Astyanax mexicanus: one gene and its partner. The protein of the gene in region 1 purifies or fractionates together with the protein of each later gene. This does not show direct contact. Links are inferred from orthologs where the notes say so. Each region holds a gene or a part of one and is shown on either strand. Other genes may lie near its edges.

What was found. Proteins that work in one complex are often made in the same cells at the same time.
Region 2: the proteins of otud5a (region 1) and ruvbl2 purify together in Homo sapiens (affinity purification with mass spectrometry, with the first as the bait; 3 studies listed by BioGRID). This does not show direct contact. The link is inferred for Astyanax mexicanus from reciprocal best matches to the Homo sapiens genes OTUD5 and RUVBL2.

The regions. Positions count from the first base shown.
Region 1 is NC_064419.1:3,684,346-3,692,254, forward strand, and holds the start of otud5a (OTU domain-containing protein 5-A), read right to left. Parts: upstream 3,583-7,909; 5' UTR 3,287-3,582; coding exon 2,723-3,286; intron 1-2,722. UniProt on the Homo sapiens protein: Deubiquitinating enzyme that functions as a negative regulator of the innate immune system. Has peptidase activity towards 'Lys-48'- and 'Lys-63'-linked polyubiquitin chains. Can also cleave 'Lys-11'-linked ubiquitin chains (in vitro).
Region 2 is NC_064408.1:15,128,544-15,137,043, reverse strand, and holds the start of ruvbl2 (ruvB-like 2), read left to right. Parts: upstream 1-5,055; 5' UTR 5,056-5,173; coding exon 5,174-5,185; intron 5,186-6,713; coding exon 6,714-6,768; intron 6,769-6,930; coding exon 6,931-6,986; intron 6,987-7,105; coding exon 7,106-7,247; intron 7,248-7,517; coding exon 7,518-7,647; intron 7,648-8,500. Other genes in the region: ftr83 (finTRIM family, member 83), read left to right, coding at 2,519-3,045. UniProt on the Homo sapiens protein: Possesses single-stranded DNA-stimulated ATPase and ATP-dependent DNA helicase (5' to 3') activity; hexamerization is thought to be critical for ATP hydrolysis and adjacent subunits in the ring-like structure contribute to the ATPase activity.

The DNA of each region.
Region 1 (7,909 bases):
TGGTGCACCATTTCTCATAGCTGGAAAAAGCAGGGGACTAACATAGCAACCAAACTGACGAAATTAGATTTTCATGGCAGATAGATTAGATATTATTTTTTTTTGTTGTTAAAATATTTATTTTTGTTTGATTATGGCTTCAAGATTCAGTGAAACTGTAAAAATAGCAGCCGAACTTCTAAAGTCTAGACAGAATATATTCAGACTGTGCAGTGTGACTGACGAGATGTGTATTTTGTGTTGTATTGTGTTTATTTGTATGTTTGTTCACATATAAAACAGTGAACAGTATTTTATCCAGTCATGCTTCAATAACTGTGACTCCATACTCAAAGTGTGGACTAAGGTAGGTGAAAAAATAAAGTATATATTTCTCAAACTAATTATAATAAATGAATTATTCAAATGTTGTCATCTTTACAAAGTGTATAATTGATTTTTTATGCTATTCTTTTATCATTATTTCAAAATCTGTCTCAAATGACAAAAATATTGTGTATCGCAATAATTTCTGGGACAATATATCGTCTACCAAAAAATCTTATCGTGACAGGCCTAATGACAGTGCAACTTCACCTGTGGGGTTGAAGAGTGTTTAAGAGTGTTTACTGTAATATCGGCTAGTTTATTTTATTTAAAGTTTTAATATCGTGTCATAAAAGAAAAAAAATCACTCAAACTCTCATAACATTTTATGCTTATATAGACTGCGGATGCAGTGGGAAGATGTTTGTTGTTTGATACCTTATCATCACTGCAGTACAATATCCTAACAGTAATAAAAACAGAAATAAATGTCAACAATATTTATATACTTAAATGAATGTTCATCAAGTAGCAGCTTTCCCAAGCCTTTATTATTAGTATTTTATTTCTGTTATTACTATGATTAACCACAAAACACTGCTGATGCTTGCTGTCTTCATTAAATTAGGATTTCCAGTCTGCATTTACACATCATAAGCATCTGTGTTTTGATACTTTATCTGTTAGAAACCATCTAAAGGTTCCACCTCAAGGTAATGCTCAAAATTCAACACTTTTACATTTATCAGGTTATTCTTTACCAGGTGATCCAAAGAACTGTGTTCAATCAGGGCTGCACAATATATCTGTTTCAGAATAGTTATTGCAATGTGTACATGTGAACAATTAAAGAGCATTTCCTGATACGATATTATCATGATACATTGCCCATAATAATAATAATAATAATAATAATAATAATAATAATAATGGCATTACAATTCTGTAATTTACAAGACAAATCTCTACGATATTTCATATCTGTTTTAAAGATAATAAAATACTCCTAAATAAGCAAGAACAGGAATTATGGATTGATTTGTGATAGTTTTAGCGCCATGTGGTGTAACGAAGCATTTAGTAACAAAAATTTAGTAAGACAAATTAGGGGTGAGTCTTAAAGATTATCGCTAATGCATCGCAAACTATATCTGAGACTACATCTGCCTGATATTTATTTTACTCTGAATTTAGATGCACACAGATGTGCTGTCATTTTTTCTTTATATCAATCTCGCTTCTGTCCATTCATTTCCCACCCCCCCCCTCTCTCTCACTCTGTCTTTCTTTCTAGAACTCTTTATTCATTTTTGTTTGTTGAATATCTGTCAATCCATTTGTTTTACCCTTTTCTGTCTTGTTCTTATCTTGTCACTCTTTCTCTCTCCTTCTTTTTGTTATTTAACTCTTTTATATCATGCCACTGATACAATATATTGTGCAGTCCTACTTATGTAAATTACTTATTTTTTAATACTTTATTCATTTGTATTTTTATTGTACTATGTAAAAGTTAGTTTTAGCTTAATTTTAACTTTTTGTATTAATCTCATTTTTAATCTTAATTTCTTAATTAAAGTAGGTATTATTGTTTTTTTTTATTTTTTCTTTCTGTCTTGGCTGCATGTTTCTTTCTGTTTATGCTATATTTTTCTCTTTCTTTCACCCTTTCTTTAATTCCAGGGTATACTCTTCTTTCTGTCTTTCTAGGCTTTGTTTCTTTCTGTTTATGCTATTTATTTTATTCTTTTTTCATCTATTTTTATCTTTTAGTTTCTGTTTTTTAATATGACTAAACGTAGTTATTTTCTTCGTCATGTCAGTCCTTGTATTTGTAAATGCTCAGCTACACTGAAAATGAGGGTTGTCCTTAATGCACCTCCGAGTCAAAATAATGGTTGATTGGTTGATATTTGAGTTTTATCTGCATATATTAATTTATTAGTTTGCTAGAACAGGGTAAGAATCACAGGTGTGCAGATTTCAGCAAGTGATTTAAAAGACGAGTTGAAACAGGAGCCCTGCCCACAGGAGGCAGTGATGGAGGGGATGTCAGAAATAGTCGCCGATTAATCGACGAATCGGAAAAAAAATAGTACAATACCCTGCAGTACAATATCCTTGTAAAATGAATGATCATCTCACTATAAACACCTGTATTTTGATAGTTTGGCTGTGAGAAACCAAGTTCCACTTGAAAGTGATGCTCAAAATTCAAATCTTTTAAACAGGGGGCAAATTTAGTCGCTGACTAATCGACTAATCGAAAAAAATAATCGTCAGATTAGTCGACTGCCAAAATAACCGTCAGCTGCCAAAATAACCGTCAGCTGCAGCTGCCTTAGCTTAGCTTATTTTGGTGATAGCCAACTAGCTATCTAGCTAATGTTTACATACACAAACGCTGCATATTTACCTGCTCAACTGTTGCTGGATCTTCTGACTGGAGTCTGGAAGCATTCTCGTACTCATCTTCACTGTTGTACCCGGCACCCTCCTCCTGATCTGGGCCTGGACCCACACCACCACCCCCGGACACACCGGGTGTCCCCCCGCCCGCGACTCCCCCAGAGCAGGTCGCCTGCCGCCGCCGCTTGCTGAGACCCGGCCCAGAGCAGCAGCTGCCGATAGTGCCCCCACAGCCCACCACGCCGCCCGCTAGCTCCCCGCGACCGCCGGACACGCAGCTAATCCCGCCCAGACCGCCTCCGTCCCCCGGGCCGGCGGGGGATCCAGCTCCCACCGGCGGAGGGGAGGCCTGCTGCGGCCGCGAGCTCGATTCATTCCGCCTGTCCTCCCTGGACTGAGGCGGCGCGGCTTGATATGACCACGGCGGCGGTGAAGCTCTAGGCCTCGCCCCGGTCCGCACAACGCCGTGGCCGTGCTGGTGAGGGTCGGAGCCGGCTCGCCTGTCGCTCTCGTCGGCGTGGTCCTGGACCCCGACCGTGGAGCTCGGCTTCTTCTTGGGCAGGATCGTCATGTTGGCTGTGTGTGCGCGGAGGGCAGGGAGGGGGGAGCGGGAAGAGGAGGAGGGGTGTCAGGGGTGACGAGTCCTCCGGCTCGGGGAGAGCTCTGCGCCGCCCGTGCTTCAGCCTGGCCGTCTTCTCTGGACCGAGGGCTCCTCCCTGGAGGTTTCGGGTAAGGTAAGGCGTCGTTTTTGTGGGTAAAAAGCGCCGCGGAGAGAACAAAAACAGCCCAAGTCTCCGCCGCCGCCGAGCCGCCACTGCTGGAGCTTCCCCTCCGCTCAGCGTCCAACAACATCAACACAGCGCTGACGACACGGTCGCGTCACTTCCTCCCCTCATACAGATCGACAGATCCAACACCCCCCCCCCTCCAATCCCCCCCAAACCCCCCGGCCACGGGCTCCCATCAAACTACCCGCAGCCCCGCTCCTCTTTCCTTCTTTCTTTCTCTCCTTCTTTCTCTCTTTCTTTCTCTCTATGATTTTTACTTTATTTACTTTTTTATTTTAGGCTATATTCTTATTTCTTTCTTATGCTTTCTTTGTGTCTGTCTTTCTAGGCCATTTTTTCATTTTTCATTTCACTCTTTTATTTCTCACCACTTCTTTCTTTCTTTCTTTTTTCAGTTCAGGCTATATTTCTTCCTTCCTTTCTTTACTTTCTTTCTTTCATTCACCCTTTTTTCTTTCCTTCTATGCAACATTTTTCTTTCTTTCAATGACATATTTTTCTTTCTTTCTTTCTTTCTTTCTAGGTTATATTAATCTTTTTAGGTTACATTCTTTCATTTTTTCTTTATTGATATCTGTTATTTATTTTCATATTTTTATTTTTTGTTTTCTTTCTTTCTTGCTTTCTTTGTTAGTTAGTTAATCTCTCTTTGTTCTTTCAATTTTATTTCACTTCTTTCTTTCTTTCTTTCTTTCATTTGCCTTTTCTTTCTTTCTAGGCTATATCATTTTTCTTTCTTTCAGTCTATTCTTTTTCACTTTTTTTCTATGCTGCATTTTTTTCTTTTTCTTTAGTCATTTCCCTTTTCTTTTTTCCCTTTTTTCTTTTTTATGTATTAATTTCTCTCTTTTCTTTCAATCTTTTCCTTTCTCCCTTTCTTTTTTCTTCTTTCTGTGCTGTATTTGTCTTTTTTTCTTTCTTCCTTTGTATTTATTAATTTCTTTGTGATATCATCAAGAGGGTTAAGGCAGTGCTAGATAATCATGGTGGTCACACAAAATATTGAGAAATTTAGTAAGTATTATATATGGGACTGTCCAAAGTTAAATTGTAACATTTATATTTTTTCTGAAAAAAAAAGCTCAAATATGTTAAAATTTTAACATTTAACAGTTTGTTTAGTCCCTGTATAAAAGAACTACCAATAGAATAGGACTCTCTCGAGCAGACTAACAGTAACCACTGGCATCATTCATGTCTTATACCAGGGTTGGGCTAGAGGGACTTATTTAGATAAAATAGCTAAAAAGAAATAATAAAAAAAAACAATAAAGGTTTTGAAGACCTCTATTTTTTTTAGTAGCAGTGCCTCTTTGACCCAAAAAACAATGACTTTATTTCTGCACTTCACCTGTCAGACCTCTAAATTTTCTCTTCACTGCTGAAACTGAGACTTAGTCCAATATTTCCATGTGGGTCAGCCAGACGTCCTCCTGTAGCAGTTTTTTCTTCAGTTTCCAAGAGTCTTTTGAAGGTGTAGAAAACAGGACTCACCACTCTCTGGCTTCATCTGTAATTTCTCTAAAGAAAAGACTTTAACTTTTGATAGTTTTGATAGAGTTCTCTGTGTTTCTGTATCATTTTCTTTTCTAGTTATTATTATGGTTATTATTATAGTTATATATATATATATATATATATATATATATATATATATATATATATATATATATTTTTTTTTTTTTTTTTTTTTTCCCTAATTTCAGTTAGTTAGTTTTTTTTTTTTTTTTTTTAAGTTTACTGCATTTTTTGCACACTGGATTTTAGATCATTTTCAGTTATTGGCTGTACCTGTAGAACTTAATTTACAGAAGAGGAGAAATGTTGATATCTAACTAAAACTTTTAGAATTACTAACATCTAATATGTATTTTTTAAAGTAGTTCTATTTTTCTTAGAAAAGACTTGAAATATCCCTTTTAAAAGGGAGTATACTCAAAAGTATAAACATTAAAAGTACATTTTCATGAATAGTTTCATAAAAGTCTGTATTTCCATGAATTGTATTTTTAAGCAATGTGCTTTAAATTAAACATGCTGATGGAAAATATATCTCTTGGCATTAAATACTGCTTAAAGTGCATTTACATTTAGTACATTTATATTTCAAGTGTAATAAAAAATATGTTTAATAACACATAATATGAAAAAGCACTCAAAAGCACAATGTAATGCTTTTATGTTGTATTTAAATATTTAAGCTTAAAATTATAAAAGTTGCCATACGTTGTTCCATAATTGTACATTTAGTATCTGTTTAAGTACGTATTAATTTTATTGTTGAAATAAAATAAAAAAAAACTTTTAAAATACTTTTAAAAAATATACTTAAATGAACTTTTCTATTGTAAGGGGTGCAAAAGTATCCACTAACTACAGACTTACTGACTGATAAAAATCTATAATAATCTATAAAAAATCTATTAAAAAATGAGAAATGTTATATATATATATATATTACCATTTTCACTTCTTTCTTTGTAACATACATCAACACATATGATAAAAAACAGCATATTTCAATAAGAAAATCACACAAAAGCAGATATTTGTGATATTTGTGTTTATTTCTTTCCGATGTTTCTGCATACAGTCAATTGTCTTCTACTGAGCACAGACCAACACGCCTAAAGCAGTACTGACCTACAGTACCTCGAAATATAAACAACAGTCTGTCCTCCTATTACAAAATACCCTGCTATTCACACAGATAAAGCAAATATATGCCATCAAGCTCTTCCACCACCAGAGGGCACGTGTGTAGCAATAAACTCCAGGCATTGTTCAGAATAACCCAGTGCTCAGAGCCCCAGCAACCAGCATCCAGCAGCGGGTAACACAAACCGTGAGCGGTGAGCAGACAGTGCTGTAATTATTATCATCAGTGCTGTAATATTGCATTCTATAGGAGTGGACACCACATTTAATACGTGATTATAAACAGCTATCAAAACTGTTAAGTGTTTTTATTACGAGCGGCTGAAGAATAAAACATGGTACGATTCGAATGGATGTGAGGATAATCCAGCACTGTGTGCAGCAATGTTAACTTATGCATTTACAAATATCATTTAGAATAAATTCATGAATAAATAAACGTATAAACTACATCAAAAACAAAGATTTACTTCATCAACTTCAGCTTGATCAACTCAGGTTTAATAATGCATTATACAGATGTCCTCTGCGTATCTGACCGTGACAGGTCCTTTGAATATTTGTCGTTTCATCTTTGGTTCAAACAATAACAATGACAAATTCAATAGACAATAGAGACAAAGAGAGAGAGAGAGAGCATCCCTGCAGATCTGAGCTGATTACTTTTGGTTATCATTATCATTTACTTATTATTTTTATATGAGGATTAGTGCTATGATTAGTGTTTGCTATGCTATGCTTTTAATATAATGAACACTGAATAATGTTTAGTGTGGTATTATTATTAGTAGTAGTACATATTAAATTATACCCATACTTTTCAGCTGGAAAGCAGAACCTTTTGTCCAATATGTGAACTATAGGCTTCATGGTGGCCAGTGATAGTGATAGGGAACAGGAAGGGTTCAATATGGTCCTCGTCTGGGTTGTACACGACTCATGGGACCGATCTTCTGTACTGTATAAACTCACTCAGACAGTAGATTGAGTAACTGACAGTAGAGATGGTGTGTTTCCCCTAAATATAATTCTTGATTAATTTGCATTAAAAATGAATATGTTAAGTTAGATTCCAGATATATTTTAATGCGCAAAAAAACACACTTCATTCACTTTAATATCTGATCCATCCAGCTCTGGAAAACAATTTGACCACTTAAAAATGTTTCTTTGACTTTACCAAATTTAAAAACCTGGAATATAATCAAGAGGAAGATGATCAAAAGTCATAAAACCAAACTGAACTGCTTGAATTTTTGCACCAGGAGTGGCGGCATAAAGTTATCCAAAAGCAGTGTGTAAGACTGGTGGAGGGGAACATTCCAAGATTCATGATAAAAACTATGATTAAAAAACAGGGTTATATCACCAAATATTGATTTCTGAACTCTTAAAACTTTATAAATATGAACTTGTTTTCTTTGCATTATTTGAGTTCTGAAAACTCTTTTTTGTTATTTCAGCCATTTCTCATTTTCTGAAAAATAAATGCTCTAAATGACAATATTTTTATCTTATTTGGAATTTGGGAGAAATGTTGTCTGTAGTTTGTAGAATAAAACAACATTGTTAATTTTACTCAAACATAAACCTATAAATAACAAAATCAGAGAAACTGATTCAGAAACTGAAGTAGTCTCTCTTTTATCAAGAAATATTAATAGGAAATTAAGAAAGAAACTATGAAACTAGCTCAATATTTCTTTCATTTTAGCGAGGATGAAACTGAAACTTCATGTGAAGCATAG
Region 2 (8,500 bases), on another chromosome or scaffold:
CCAACTTTACAGGTTTTTATTTGTATGTGAGTTTGAATTTGTCGCATCTCTGGACATGCAGAAGTTGCAAGTTCTATAGAAATGTAAGGAATGCGCTGCCACTATGATCGAGAGATCGCTGGTTCGAATCCCAATCATGCAGCTTGCCATTAGAACAATTGGCCTTTTTCCTTAACCTACATCAGCAGCAGCTCAAAAAGAGACAGAGTCTGACTTCACATATATCGGAGGAGGCAGGTGCTAGTCTTCACCATCCTGGTATTGGGGCATTACTAGTGATTACTAGGGAGTGTCAATGAATAGGTTTGGTAATTGGTCTTGTAAATTAGGGAGAAAATGGGATATAAATTAGAAAAAAAACATAAGGAATAATCTGTGCACTTTCAAGGCTCTCAGTGCCATGTTTTAAATGTCAGGGCTCTTGGATTTGCACTAATGACGTTTGGAGCAACATTGAGATTGCTAATGGTGTAAAAATGGCAATTTCTTTGCATGGGTAACATTATGTCTCTCTCATATTATTTTAGTATTGAAAGCCTGTTGGGAGCATCTGCTAAAAGCTGTGTATTTCAGAATGCTAGGGGTACTCATTATCATTTTTCAATACAACCCAAGTCCATGTCACACTGGATTTCTCCTTTAAGCCACCAGTATTGCGTGTAGCTCGGCCTATCCCCAAAGATTACACTTATAAACAGACTGAAAAATGATATACTGACATGCCAAAAATTTGGCCTGATAGTGGGTGGCATTGAAGATTCCATAACTTACAGTGTCATGCTTGTGTTGGGAATTTGTAATAGAAGGCATTACCTCCCACAGTGGACAGTTCAGTAGGTGTTAATGATCGTTACCAGCTAGAATATTTTATTCACAATAGATGAAACAAAAGAAGCAACTCTAGCAGGAATCGCATCCATATTCAATACAGCAGACCCCCCACATACACATATACTGCAGGTTTGTTCAGCGTTCTTTAGCTTCTATGACACATGGCAAAAGTCATGGGACATGATACTATTTTCTGTCCTATTACTTTTGGCATGTATTTTTGTGTAAATTTACTCATATCTGACAAATGCAGCAAATTTACCACTATTCATATATTCCATTGTAGCTGCCATAAATGTGCAGTCAGTCTAAAGTGTATATTGCCACTCTCGGCCCTCTAGATCAGAGACGGCCCCGTGGTTCATCTGGCAGCCACCACCACCTAATGTACAACCAGCTTTGAGAGCCGATGAGGTGGGCAGACTCTATACACTTCACCTGCTGTCTGTGGGCTGGGCCTGTACTCATTAACTTTTACTGTATCAGCTCTCTTTCTGTCTGTAATCATCTGAAATCATTTAACAATAATGAAAAAAAAATGATCTCAGGTCACCACTCCTATTTTAAGGGTAGTCTTTACCTTCAGGGTCTGTTATCTCGGGTCTTTCTCGTCTTGAAACACTTGAAAGTGGGGATTTATCGTTGTTTTCTTTTCTCAGTTGTGAAATGCTTAAGTGTGGGTTAACATAGAGGCATCCATGTTTTAACTTAATCCATGTCTATGTGGAGCTTGGTATTAATAATATTTATAAAACTGTTTAGAGACACAGAATCCTTTATAGAGCTATAACTCACTTAATGTTTGTACATAGATCAAGATTCATACATTAATTAACACAATGGTGTATTCAGTCCTGTTATATGGTATGATTATTAATGTCAATGCCTGTAAAATTCTGTATGTAGGTCCAGATAATAATTTCTTACTCTATAACTGGATTCTTTAGATATTTCCCAAAAGTGATTTCCCAAGCAAATCGCTTATACTACTATTTATCAATTTCAACATTAAGTATGTTTCATAGCCTGCAGATATTTAGCCTGCAGATATTTTTGTCAAAACTACAATTTAAAAGTATTTATTGAATATTTAACACTTTAATATACTAGCAGATAAACCAACATAGCGTAATATATTTACCTCAGCAGTGCTATTCAAAGAATAGCGGAGGTATGTAGGGCTGCCACCTCTGCTCAAAAAACCCTAACTCTAGAGAACATACTGCAATACGACTTCAAATAAATGAGTATAATTTATTATTAGTTATTCACATTCCACTCTTTTTGTATGAATATTTTTAGTTGCGTCCCTAATTGCAAGTGATGTTTACATAGTTCATCTAAAATGAGGAAAATATCTGTTTTCCTGTTCTCAACAAAAGAACATAAAATCTTTTGTCTCGAAACACATTTAGTGTCACTGCCACAAAAAAAACTTGTACCGTATCTCTAAAAAGCAGCTTAAAGTCTATATCAGATTTTTAATGAATAAGTGAGTAAAAGATTTTATTCATAATTATTTAAAGCATTTCTATTGGTAAATTTATCATGAAATTCTAATGCAATATAAATCTAAACAGCCTAATTTTATTGAAATTAGCCAATTTGTATTGTAGCCAAATTATACTGAAATCAGCTAAATTCTCCAGCAGTAAATAGCTGTGATTTCTCCTGTTCTGTCCAACAGATGCCAGCCAGCTGACTCTGGACTCTAACACAGCCTACAAACAGCTCTACATATCCCGAGGAAACAGGAAAGCAGCCCTGAAGAGAGACCCTCAGTCCTACAGTGACAGCGCCCAGAGATTTGACTGCCTTCCTCAGGTTCTCTGCAAGGAGGCCCTGTCCGGAGGGGCCCATTACTGGGAGGTGGAGTGGAGCGGGGAGGGAGCCTCCTTTGGCATCACCTACAAAGGAATCAAGAGGACGGGCTACGGAGATTCGGCCCGACTTGGCTACAACCGCAAGTCCTGGAGCCTGTTCTGCTCCGACTCCAGCTATTCGGCTCGCCACAGCAAAGACCAGGTGGAGATTAAAGCTCCCTACTCGTCTCGCATCGGGGTCTTCCTGGACTACGATGGAGGCACTCTCTCCTTCTACAATGTCTCTGAGTCCATGTCACTTATCCACCAGTTCAAGGCCTCCTTCAGTGAGCCGGTCTTTCCTGGCTTCTGGGTGTGGTACGAGTCGGCCATCACTATTTGCCAGTTGTAGAGCTGTTTGTGTGCTAGGGTAGTATAAGAGGATGAAGAATTGCGTAATTATATATTTTTGATCATTATAAAAGAACAGATTTTTTTAATGTCACTAAAAATCCACTTTCTTTTTCTTTTCTTTTTTTTTAAGGAAAATACCTGTGTATGATATTTGTCAAATTACATGTGTGACAATGTACGTGTGTTTCAGAGCCAGTGATTGTATTATTTTTAATATACTATATACTATACAATATTTTTAATATACTATACTATAAATACAGTATAGACAAATGCTCCAAATGTCAGCTTAAATGTAATGTAACTGCATATTAATAATGTTTTATAAACATGAAGAAAGCTAATAATCAGAATGTACACTATTGATTTGTGTGTGTGTGTGTGTCAAGGCACCATTGTTCTGTGTGCACAAATGGAGAAATCAAATAAAGATTTATGAAATGACAAAGTTATTGTATTTGTTTTTATAATAATTATTATATTATGTAGTTACAAATGAAGGAAAGCTTCATTCTTGTTGTAGTCAATCAACAAACTAAACAAACCACCCCAGCAAATAAGTACAAAGTATGTGTGAAAAGTGAGACAAGCTTCAGGGTAGATTAAGTAAATAACAAGAGCGCCATCTACTGGTGCCAGACGCTACATTACAAATGGCACCCTATATCCTATACCAGTGGTCTCCAACCATAATAAAAAATCCTCATCTTTCTGCAGACTTTGCAGCCAATCCTATTTCACTCCATTAGATTTAGCTAATTACCTCCTTCAGAAGTTCCTGAGTTGCTGAATGGGGCATATTAGATTTGACCTTGTTGAAATCTGCAGGAAGAAAGCTGGCCTCTACACTAAAATACTGTGCTTTAAAGGAGCAATCTTTTTGTGTTTTAGTCTCTGGTCCAACCCACCGCCCATTCCCCAATCCTATTTCCACACCCTGGGTTGCCAGGTATTCAACACAACAGCAAACACAGCTGTGTGGAGCCATGGAATTAGCCAGTAAGATAAACTGGTTTAGCAGAAACAGCTTTAGCGAGATGCTACCTAAGCTAAAAAAGTCTCAGCAAGTGATATGACCAGAGACAGAGTACAATGCAAGCAAATACTGGCAATGCATTTGATAGTTGGAGACAGCTTAGAGCCTAGAAGGACTTGTTTTTGTCAGTTCAGTGTCCTCAACTTGACAACCTGTCTGAACAAAACAACAGAATAAAAAAATTAATTGAGATAATTGAACGAATTAAAATATTAGGAAGAAAAACATATTAGAAGAGTAAGTGGTGGGATAAAATGATTAAATTAAGATTTAATTAACAAGAGAATAATATTTAAAAAATAAAAGATAAAATCTACATGAAAAAAATAACAAAATATTGAAATAGCTAATAAAAAAACACTAAAAATGAATGTTAATACAAAAGGATAAAATGTGTATTATATACATATACCTGTAAAAACTTGTCTTGAGGTGCTGAACAATAGTATTGCCTTCAACCAGCAATATAATTAATTAAATATGATATAATTATATAATATATAATATAACTATATAGTATAAAGTATAATTATATTCATAATTCAATATAAATATAATTCACGTAGACGAAGGACTAGAAATATAAAAGAGGTGGTCTCAATGTAAGCATTCTCTTCAAAACCAAATCTCCTTCTCAGGAATTTACTTTATAAATAACCACAATTATAAAAATGTAAATGATGGAACTAAAATAAATAATAATAATAAGTAAAAATATATTAAGAAAATAAATAAAATAAAATAAAATAAAAACGTAAAGGTCAAAAGTAAAAGCAGTAACAAAACAAATAAAAAGATGAAATTAATAAAATAAATAAAATAAAAGGGCTAAAAGGTAAAGCATAACATTAGATAAATAAAAAAAACAATATATAGTGAACTTCTTTCACTTTGGGAGCCACCGGAAAATATGTATAATAGCATGATGTTTTTAAAGTAGGAATGTTATCAACAGTACAGGTGTGTGAGTTCAGAGTTGAGTGGTAAACGAGTGAGGAGGAACTGTAGTGAATCTGTTTGCTAGACGAGCGCATTTCGGCTGCGCACCCATTCAGAAACCGCCGGCCGCGAAAAGAGAGAGAGAGAAAACATGGCAGCGCAGGTGAGAGCGAGATTCTCTGCTTTAAATATAGACTTATTATTCTTCTACTAGCTCTTATTTAATGGCCTAGGTCTATATAGAAACTGTATTAATGTGTGTAAAGCTTTAAATCTGCTGTAGAGAGAGACGGGGCTTTTGTAAATATCTGAGTGCGAGTTAGCGGGTTAGCGTAGCTTCCTGCACATGTGTGTACCTGCCCCTCACTGCGCTTCTGTACTGTATATACAACTAACTAACTATTTAAACACTTAACCTGCGGTCTCTGATCATTTCTGAGTGCCTGCCCCCTAGCTGATCTTAACAACTGGCTCGTCTTATTTAGTTAATTTATATTTAGCTTCAGTTAGTTAGCTTGGTGTTAGCATGCTAGCTGGCTAAGTTAGCTAAAGCTAGCAATTTGACCATCCTACAGATAACTTACATTACAGTAAACAGCTCAGCATATGGTTCACTGACGCTAGCTGACACTTTCTCTGTTAATATTAAACATATTATTGTAGCTACATTATGGTTTATAAAGAGTAATTTAATTTAGTTGTGCTAACCGTATGTAACGTTACTAAGTTAGCTAGCTACTGTTGTGGCTCATGTGTCACTATGGCAACATGAACTGTTGAGGCACGCGCTGCAGTGCTTAATTAACTAACGTTACCTAACTAGTGACTATAAATGTGATTTTGTCTTTTGTTATAGATATACACATGTACATATACACAGCTCTGGAAAAATAAGAGATCACTTAAAAATGATAAGTTTCTTTGATTTTACCAAATTAAAAACCTCTGGAATATAATCAAGAGGAAGATGGATGATCACAAGTCAAGATCACAAGCCATCAAAACAAGCTGAACTACTTAAAATTTTGCACCAGGTGTGGCATAAAGTTATACCAAAGCAGCGTGTAAGACTGGTGGAGGAGAGCGTGCCTAGATACATGAAATCTGTGATAAAAACCCGGTTATTCCACCAAATATTGATTTCTGAACTCTTAAAACTTTATGAATATGAACTTTTTTTGTTTGCATTGTTTGAGGTCTGAAAGCTCTGCATCTTTTTTGTTATTTCAGCTATTTCTCATATTCTGCAAATAAATGCTCTAAATGACAAAATGTTTATTTGGAATTTGGGAGAAATGTTGTCCGTAGTTTATAGAATAAAACAACAATGTTTTTTTAACTCAAACATATACTTATAAATAACAAAATAAGAGAAACTGATTCAGAAGCGGAAGTGGAGTTTTTATTGTACTTTATAGACTTTTTTGTACTTTAGAGTAATCTAAATTAGTCATTAATAATTTAAATTAAATCAGTTAAATTACTTTAATTAATGCGTATGTTGAAAGTATAGAAATGGAAACTATTTCTATCCAGACCTTGGTACATGATGATGGACATCATTTGTAAGTTGAAAATGCTTACAGGTAAAAAGTGTATAAAGACTTTATACAGTTGGTTATTTTTCATGTAAATGATTTATTTCTGTGCTTTGGTGCCTAATGATTTTTTTTTCTTTCTGTTTGTCAAAGATGGCAGCCACGAAAGTGCCCGAGGTGCGAGACATCACCCGGATAGAGAGGATTGGTGAGTGATGATGATGGACATTAGGACACATATGACTAGAACACACATGATGCATGCTAAATATGTAGTCTAGTGTTATGTAGTGTAACCGTTAATTCTCTTGAGCTTAGAACAAATTATTTTTTACTATGGATAAAAATGTTTTGTTGTCTGGGGTTTTAGGTGCACATTCACACATTCGAGGCCTTGGACTAGACGATGCTTTGGAGCCACGGCAGGTGGGTCTGCGTATACTGGTTTTCTTCATGTGTTTTGCACCAGTATGTACAATAATTATGTTTGTGAACTGGATAGTTTGTAATGATTTTTGTGGATTTTTTTGCTCTGTGCTGTTCAGGTTTCTCAGGGGATGGTGGGTCAGCTGGCATCTCGGCGGGCTGCTGGTTTAATCTTGGAGATGATTAAAGATGGGCACATTGCTGGCCGTGCTGTGCTCATCGCTGGCCAGCCTGGGACTGGCAAGACTGCTATTGCTATGGGTATGACTATTTGTATTAAGAACAATTGCCTTATTTTCTGTTTATTAAAAGTGGACAGTTTCCACTGTAATTCCTATTTTATATACAATATGGGTCAGTTTCCCTAGTCCTATACAACATGTTCCTTTCAATGGGAAATCTTCACTTAAGATTCAGTGTAGTCAAAAAACTAGGCTTAAATCCTGTCTAGGTAAACTGCCTTTGATTAATGCTGCTATTACCTGATATTGTGGGACCCATCAATGACAGTCTTTTGTTTTGGTTGGACAGGCATTGCTCAGTCACTTGGATCTGATACGCCTTTTACTGCTTTGGCTGGGAGTGAGATCTTCTCTCTGGAGATGAGCAAGACAGAGGCACTCAGCCAGGCCTTCCGCAAAGCCATCGGAGTCCGAATCAAGTTAGTCTGACTGAGGAAATAATGTAACGTCTTGTCTATATAGTTTGCCTTAGCAGTAAGGAGTAGTAGATTTTAAGAGGTAACATTGTAATTTCTGTATGCCCCATCCAGACCTGCCAACACCAATTTTGCTTAACAGTCTCGCATTTTGACCTCCTAATATGCTAATATGTACAATCCCATGTTCTAAAGTATGCATATCGTTTTGTCTCGCATTTTCCATGTTAGTCTCAAATTTGACTGTTGAGTGTATTAGCGTCCGCTCACAATGTTGCGCTGTTTATCAACGCTGATTTATGTCCAATTAACATGCACACTAATCCTGCAAGCTACCCAACGAGCCATTACATTTTTTCCTCCGAATGAAAAATATCAGCACAGCGATGCCGTGTTGACATTTTTCAGTCTCTCTCTCTCTCTCTCTCTGTCTTTATCTCTCTTTTTCTATCTCTCTTTCTCTATCTTTTTCTCTCGTCTCTTTGCTATTGCATTAGCATAATTTGAAGCATTGTTAATTTTGTCTTGCAACGAAAATGGCATTTAGTTTTAGTCATAATTTTGTCATCTGAAATGTATTTAGTTGTAGTCTAGTTTTAGTCGACAAAATATCATAAGAATATAGCCATCAAAAATACAGTCAATTTAGTCGACTAAAATGTAAATGTTGTAAATGTAAATGCTTTTTCATCAGTTCCCTTGAATTATTAACTACATACTTATAAAAAATTTAACATTTATTAACCAGTTGTGTAAGATTGTTAATGTTTGAATGTGAAATATATTTATATATGATTTCATATATATTATTATTGTAGGTATGTGACTATAAATATTTTACGTTTAAAATTTTGTT